Daphnia pulex: one gene and its partner. The protein of the gene in region 1 binds, or shares a complex with, the protein of each later gene. Links are inferred from orthologs where the notes say so. Each region holds a gene or a part of one and is shown on either strand. Other genes may lie near its edges. The genes, in order: corepressor interacting with RBPJ 1-like and histone deacetylase 3-like.

Region 1 (3,811 bases):
TTATCTTAGAGTTGTTTTGGTTTCTAATTCCCCTCCCCCCTTAAAAAAGTGACCCGCCAGTGAAGGAGAACATGACAGTGTACAGGACACATTTCAGGTCTGACCTCTCTTCCTACTGTTATAGTTGGGAGCCGACAAAGTTTAGTTCAAAATTGCCATTATAGCAAATTTGAAAACATACCCCATTTCGTTGTTGACTGTCACTTCCGACTATCACTCGTTCATACAAAGCAAGAACACATATTTTTGGAAAGAAATATTTCCAGCAATGTGTTTACAAGTTTAAAATAAATAATTTCGCAGATGATTGGAAAGGCAATTAGCAAAAAAAAAATAATAATAACAAAACCAAAAACGTTTGAATAATAATTTTTAAGCGTTGGTTGGTTTTTATGGCTCGCGAATATCAATCGTTGTTTAGGCATTAGTATTAACGTTCTCTTAAATATGGATTCTTTCTTCGAGTCAAAGATATAATAAACAGCGGAAGTTTTGACCGCCAGCCAGGAGTGGGGGAGGGATATATCATTAGCATTTTTCTGCAAGAATTTACCTGGATCGACTGAAAGAGGGATAGAAAGTTCCGGATTCGTATATGCAGAGAAACCTAAAAAAAATGATCTATTCAGCCTTCAACACATTTCTTGATTGATTATTCTGATAGGTTCTGCTTATTTGTATTTTTAAAACGGGCAGAAACTTTTCACACCTTCTCCTATACTGAAAATATAATCACAGCACAGCGATAAACAACCATTAAGTCCTCGTCCTCGTTTAGTAGACGTATAGGCGCATTTTAGTACACTAGCTACCGGAAGCTCATATCCCTGCAGAACTTTCAGATAATAAAGGAGAGTACGATTTTTATGGCTCCAAGGGAGCAGAGGAAGTTTTGCAGTAAATTCAATATTTAATGCGGTTTGATTTAGTGCAATCATAATTATGTGTGTTTTCTTATTTCTACCTTTTCCCTTGATTTCTCGACTTACGAATCGTTTAATGTCGTTCCAAGATGAAGCAGATTTAATACGAATTCGTGGCTATCAGGTGGCTGTGGATTTATTAAGATGAGAAACATCAAAATACTGCAGACAAGTGAAAAAAGATAAAGAAAGAAGAAACATAAGTACAAAAATCAAGTAAATTATTTAAAAAAAATAAATTTATAAAATTGGAAGGATTAATTTGCTATGGTAACTTATCTTTATTCTGATCATCAATCGAGATTTCGGATTACATTACCATTTATTTTTTTATCGTTTATTTTTAAATTAATTTTGTTGAACTTATACGCAGACGTGGACGTCTGGACGAGCGTTGGATGTATCATACGTCATCTAGCGATCAGAGTTTAAAGTGGATAAGAAAGGTTAACCTGGGAAAAATTCAAAAAATGTGGCAACATCGCGTTTCGCGTTTGTTTTTACTTGTAAACCGTTGTAGACGAAGACTTGATCGTATCATCGTAGGTTGACGCAACTGATTTGTGTGTTCTAAATTTTTGGAAAATTCTGACTTACTTTTTACTTTATAGTGATTCATTTGATCTATTGTATCCTTTTGGCTTTGAGTACCCTCCATTTTATCCAGCGGCGCTACGAATTTGAGGAAGCTGAAAAATGGGCAAAGGATTCAATAACTACATGTGCAAGAAGTTCTTTCACCCTGGATCTCGAGATAACTTGAAAAGGGTATGTCCGACCGTGTGTCAGTTTAAGATCAGTTGTAGAATATGTAATTTACTGTGTAAACTATTTGAATCATACATTTTTAGGTCTGGATGGCTCAACAAAAGACGGATGCAGAGAAGAAAAAGCAGGAAGAGTTGAAAGCTCAGTATGAAAAAGAACAAGATTTATACGTCAACAAGTAAATCCACAACAAAAAATTTAAATATAATATCATTTATATTAACTGATACTTTTTTAAAAATTCAGATCACTTGTCAGCAAGGAAAGCAAGGAGAAGCTGAGTGTCAATTTTCTGTATGAACCACCACCAGGAATGAAGAAAGAAAGAGAAAAAGAAGATGGGGAACCAGAATTCAAGTTTGAGTGGCAGAGAAAATATAATGCTCCACGTGAAGATTATTGTCGTGGTGATGAGGACATCAGGGACCAACCTTTTGGTATTGCTGTCAGAAATGTTCGTTGTATCAAATGTCACAAATGGGGACACGTAAACACAGGTAATATTTAATGTAACTGTGTCATTAAATTTTTTTTTTAATATTTCAAGATTGATTATTTGAACATGTAGACAGGGAATGCCCTTTGTTCAACAAGGCTAGAGATGCCTTTGATGAAGCCATTGCAGCTGCTGATCCTTCTGAGAAGTTGATGAATGATATGAAGGAAACTGGTTTGGCTATGACCAAAAGTGCTATTAGTACTTTAGAGCAAATGGCGGTTCCAATGCAGGTAATAAGTGCAATGCAAACCTGTATTTATTCATTTGTTCTGAGTTCTGACAGTGCTTGTCTTTTGAATTTTAGAAACAATTATCCAAGTCTGAGGAGGAGCCTGCAGCAGAAGAATTGACATTTCTGAAAACTTTATCAACCAAAGAAAAGAAGAAACTACTTAAGTATGTGCTTTACTCATCACAAATTCTCGTGTTAAATATATCTATAAAGTTTAATGGTTCATGAATTAGGAAGCTGGAAAAACTGGAAGACAAGGAAAAAGGGAAAAAGAAGAAGAAGAAGAGAAAGAATGAAAAGAGAGAAAATAGAAGTCCACCTCCATTGACAGCATCTTCTTCACGGGTTCTAAAACTAAGAAGCAGAAGTCCACTTCCATTGACAGCATCTTCGTCGCGGAATGAGAGACGCCGAAGTAGAAGTCCGTCTCGGTTGACAGCATCTTCCTCCAGGGAGGATGGCAAAGGTTACAGAAAAGTCCATCAAAGCGATGGCAGCCGTAGTCCCAAACGGCCTCGTAGCCGTGATAGACGATCGCGATCCAGAGAAAAAGAACATCGAGAAAAGAGAAGACACGAAGAATCTGACGAAAGAATGAAGAGGAAAAAATACAGAGACTAAATTTTTTCAGTTGCAGTTCGCTGTATTTTTTAAACTTTTGGAATTGATTGTATTCCGATCTAATAAAGATTAAACAACCTCATTGATTTCAATGTTTTTGCTATTTTGTTAGGTATTTAACTTTGACTGTTGATGATTATTTATACTTTGATAAGAAAACCCGTTCAATGAAGATACTTAAAGAGAAGAAGCCGTGCAAGTAAAATTTTTTTTTATTTGATCGCGTTTTTAATTTTCACGTTAAAGTTTTTGATACTTTTGTAGTAACTCCTTAAGCGGTTTATAGCGGCCTTATGTTTATAGTACAGTCATTTTAGCATTTTAACCCAAAACAAATTGTTAAAAGTGATTTTTTAATGAGCTTTATTTATACCTATGTTTTCTTACTCTTTTTAAAACCCGCCCAAGAAAAAATAAAGTGATCATATTTAAAAAAAAATGTGTTTAAAAATTTACCTTATGCTAAATGGTGTTTTTTAATTAAAAATTTGGTATTTTAAAATTCAGGGTTAAAGAGAATTGCAAAATTAACTTAAGTTCCAATTTTGGTTTAATTTCAATGTAACTTAGTATTACAAAAAAAGTAAAATCTATTGAAAAATCGGTGAGCCGTCTTTGCGCGTTTTAACATGGCGCTTATGGGGAAACGAAAAGTTTAAAAATCTCTCCCGTTTCTAACCTAAACGACCTCAAATTACAAATTTAGTCTCGTTTTATTCATTTTTTCTTCTACTTCAAGTTTTATTAGTTTTTTGAAGGCGGGACCGA
Region 2 (3,928 bases), about 9.0 Mb from region 1:
CCCTACTTTGAAAATGATACCTTGGTAAAGGAGTACCGCCTGGAAGTCAGTGGTCAACCCAAAAGTGTAGTCACCCCAATCAAGTGGAAACCAGGCAAAAATATCCTAAATGATAATTCAGAAAAAGGATCCAGGAAGAGGAAGGCATTTGAAAACTCTTTCTTTTCCTGGTTTACTGATTCAAATCATTCCAACCTTGATGAAATTGCTGATGTAAGTAAAAATGGAATTTTGTGTGTAGAAAGAATGTAACACATGTTCTTTATAACAGATTCTGAAGGATGAAATTTGGCCGAATCCCCTCCAGTTCTTCATGATGCCTGAAGCCCTTTCAGAGGAAGGCGATGATGATGGCGATGTTGACGATGAAGAAGACGAAGAGGATGAAGAAGGTGGGGAAGTTGACGAGGGAGATTCAAATTACGACACTGATTAATCATGTGATGCCGTTTTTTTGCGTCGATCCAAAACTTTGTATTGTATGTCAATGTGCCGAAAAGATGCGAGTCAGACTGAGAATGAGCAATGCCTTTTTTTAAATAAAAGAAAATCGGTAACAATTTAAGATGGCATTTATTCCACGAGGTGAAATTTGGATTGGAAGTTTTAGGAATCGGCTGTCGTGCCATCTTTATCTTGGTCTTTCTCTCCGTCATAGTATTCATTATCTGGCTCTATCCTGTGAATGTTGAAACATACAAAGTAATTAGTAATAATATTCTAGCATTTCACATTTTAGGAGGAGCTTACCTTTTATCCTCTTCTTGCTGATGCAGACGAACATCAGGATCTAACTCTTCCGCTTCCTCGAAATTTAAAAGGTCAGGTGGAACGTCTTGCATCATTACACTGCATAGAAATTAAAACATTCGTTATAAGATGAATTTGGATACGGATATGTATTTATACCTAGGAGCGTGTTCTATCATCCTTAAATTCTCATGGATAGTTTTAGTAATGGTTTCCAAATATTGTTTACTATTCGCGTTTTCTTGGCGCGTTACAACGTCGGGATGTAGCGAGAAATCGGGAGCAAAGTACTCGAAATATTCTAAACCAAAAAGGTAAAATTCATTTTAGAGAACAAATAAACCAAATCAATTCAAGTTATGTTATTTACCATTGTAAGGTAGTTCGTTACTGATGCCTTCGTCAACTAGTAACGAAGTTTCGTACGTCCAGCATCTAGCAACATTCCTTAAAGTGTATCCTCCACCTCCAAGTACAAGCAAAGGAACGTTGAAATCTTTTACAAATTTTACACATTCTCTGAAAAAATCGAATGAAAGTTAATCAATCGCTTTAAAAGCTGAATCGTGGAATAACTAGAGTACCCATGTCCTTTTGTACTGAGATTGAAGCATCCCAACCGATCATTGGCTAATGAATCAGCTCCGCACTGAAGAACGATTGCAGTGGGCTGGTAAAACTCCATCACATACTGGAGAAAAAAATTAAAATAAAATGTTTCCTTTCTTTCAATGCCAGTGAAAATCTGTGTACCTGAATAACTGGTTTGAAAACTTGAAGGTAACTTTGATCATCAATGCCCTCTTTTAGAGGGATGTTCACGGAATAGTAGCGACCACATTCTGCTCCAATTTCATACATGTCTCCTAATTAATTAGTTAAAATATTGCTTGATCAATTCTGTTTAAGTTAGTTCTAGACATTTTGAAAAAGACCTGTTCCAGGAAAGAAATAGTTTCCATATTTGTGAAAAGAAACAGTCATCACTCGATCAGTCAAGTAAAAGGCCTCTTGAACACCATCCCCGTGATGAATATCGATGTCAATGTACAGAACACGAGGGTGATATCTATATAGAAAACCAGGCATCTTTTTTAAGTGGTAACCTTGGATATTATGTGCAATCTTACTTCAAAAGTTCCAATATAGCAATCACTATATCATTTACATAACAAAACCCAGAAGCTTCAAATTTTTTAGCATGGTGAAGTCCTCCAGACCAATTGATTGCAATGTCTGTGCTTCCATGATTTAATTTGGTGGCCCCTTCCAGTGAGGCTCCAGTGTACATTGAACAGAAATCAAATAGTCCATCAAAAACAGGACTGTAAGTAATAAGTAAGATAAGGTTGTAAAGATTATCCTAAAAAAAATATATATATGTATATATCTTAATTACCAGTCATCACCAACATTAAACTGACCCAAACATTTACTAAATGCTTGAATATTTTGTGGAGAAACCCTTTGTAGGAATTCAATATAGTCTTCTGAGTGAAACCTGTGTTAACAGAGTACAAATTTTACATTATTTCATGTCAAATCCATTTTTTATGTTGACACTTGTTGTTTTGTTGATCAATCATTTTGTGAAAGGGAGTAAATAGAACAGTTGTCTTAAAAGTAACTAATTTTCAAAGTTACCTGCACATGTCATGGGCTGATGCTCGGTAAGGTCTGTAAACTTGCATTTTTTTATACATTCCATAGTGTAAAACCAAGCTGTGGGTTACTGCCAACCTTTGTGGTTTCATCGGATGGAGTGGTCCTGTGAAAACATTAAAAAACTACATGATCACTTGTTCGAACTTTGGACTAAGAAAGATCATACCATAATGAAAATTTCCAACATCTTGATCATGAAAATAAGAAACAACTTTATTAGCTCCAAATCCCATATTTGTTTGTTTGTAATCACAGGATTTTTTTTTTTTACTTATTTTCGTTCCACTCCTAGTGGCAGACTGATGAAACAATAATTTTGCAACTTTTTTTACTAAAATAAATGGTTCTATTAATAAATCATATTAAATCATGTAAATATACAAAATTATAAAATTTAAATAAAGATTTGGAGCACGATAATAAAATATAATTTTTCCTTTAAAAAATAATAAGAGAATTCAGATGACACTTTGCAATCTGGCAACAAAATCTCGTCGAGCTTTGCCGTGGAACAACTTCTTCTCTTTCACTTGTGTGTGAGCGCCCCTTCGTTCCCTCTTGGAAGCCAGGTAATTTTTATTTCATCCATTTATATCGAGTGAAAATTATTTTCATCTTCCATTGATAGTAATAATTTTGAATCGTCTCTTTCTATTTTGTTGCTGTAATTTATTATAAAGTTTTACTGCTTTCGTTGAAAGTGTTGGTTTGTGAATCCTTAATGACAACTAACTTCAACCGGTCTTCTCCTTTATTTAGGTGTGATTTTATATCAAAATGGTGCGCATGAACGTTTTGGCCGATGCCTTGAAAAGCATCAACAACGCAGAAAAGCGAGGCAAACGCCAGGTCCTCATTCGGCCGTGCTCCAAAGTTATCGTGAAGTTTTTGACGGTCATGATGAAACATGGTAAACGTGGACGAAAATATGTAATTATAATATGTTCTAAATGATGATTCTTTCGCCTAGGTTACATCGGTGAATTCGAAATCGTTGATGATCACCGTGCCGGAAAGATTGTGGTCAATCTGACAGGACGTCTGAACAAGTGTGGTGTCATCTCTCCTCGTTTTGATGTACCTATCAGGGACATTGAGAAATGGTCAAATGACTTGCTGCCTTCTCGCCAGTTTGGGTATGTAAAGCTACTAGCACAAATGTTGTTTAGTTAACTATATCAAGATATTTTGTTCAGGTATGTTGTTATGACCACATCAGCTGGAATCATGGATCATGAAGAAGCCAAGAGGAAACATGTAGGAGGAAAGATTCTGGGATTCTTCTTCTGAAACTGTTGGCTGCCTTGATACACATGATGGTCAATACACATTCTGGAAGATCATATTTGCATACCTTACCACATATCCAAAATCAATTCTCTTGTTAAGAGGACTGTTAGTGGTGAGAATGCTCCAGCTGAGGTTAATTTTGGCTGTGTGGTAAGGTTCTTCATTATTTAATTAATAAGTTTCATTAGTGTTATAAATCGAAAACAATGTGTTTTTCTGGGAC

The links.
Region 2: corepressor interacting with RBPJ 1-like (region 1) and histone deacetylase 3-like share a complex: the UniProt entries of both Homo sapiens proteins name them as parts of the notch corepressor complex. The link is inferred for Daphnia pulex from reciprocal best matches to the Homo sapiens genes CIRSR and HDAC3.

What each region holds. Positions count from the first base shown.
Region 1 is NC_060018.1:10,168,512-10,172,322, reverse strand, and holds corepressor interacting with RBPJ 1-like, read left to right. Parts: upstream 1-1,373; 5' UTR 1,374-1,465; exon of another isoform or gene 1,466-1,469; intron 1,470-1,534; 5' UTR 1,535-1,619; coding exon 1,620-1,691; intron 1,692-1,774; coding exon 1,775-1,869; intron 1,870-1,937; coding exon 1,938-2,188; intron 2,189-2,259; coding exon 2,260-2,420; intron 2,421-2,494; coding exon 2,495-2,586; intron 2,587-2,655; coding exon 2,656-3,043; 3' UTR 3,044-3,125; downstream 3,126-3,811. UniProt on the Homo sapiens protein: May modulate splice site selection during alternative splicing of pre-mRNAs. Regulates transcription and acts as corepressor for RBPJ. Recruits RBPJ to the Sin3-histone deacetylase complex (HDAC). Required for RBPJ-mediated repression of transcription.
Region 2 is NC_060018.1:1,203,143-1,207,070, forward strand, and holds histone deacetylase 3-like, read right to left. Parts: upstream 2,737-3,928; 5' UTR 2,649-2,736; coding exon 2,582-2,648; intron 2,519-2,581; coding exon 2,395-2,518; intron 2,252-2,394; coding exon 2,150-2,251; intron 2,076-2,149; coding exon 1,881-2,075; intron 1,820-1,880; coding exon 1,686-1,819; intron 1,617-1,685; coding exon 1,504-1,616; intron 1,442-1,503; coding exon 1,335-1,441; intron 1,270-1,334; coding exon 1,121-1,269; intron 1,052-1,120; coding exon 910-1,051; intron 850-909; coding exon 751-849; intron 680-750; coding exon 607-679; 3' UTR 555-606; downstream 1-554. Other genes in the region: protein SET-like, read left to right, coding at 1-213, 272-436; 40S ribosomal protein S15Aa, read left to right, coding at 3,193-3,325, 3,386-3,551, 3,612-3,705. UniProt on the Homo sapiens protein: Histone deacetylase that catalyzes the deacetylation of lysine residues on the N-terminal part of the core histones (H2A, H2B, H3 and H4), and some other non-histone substrates.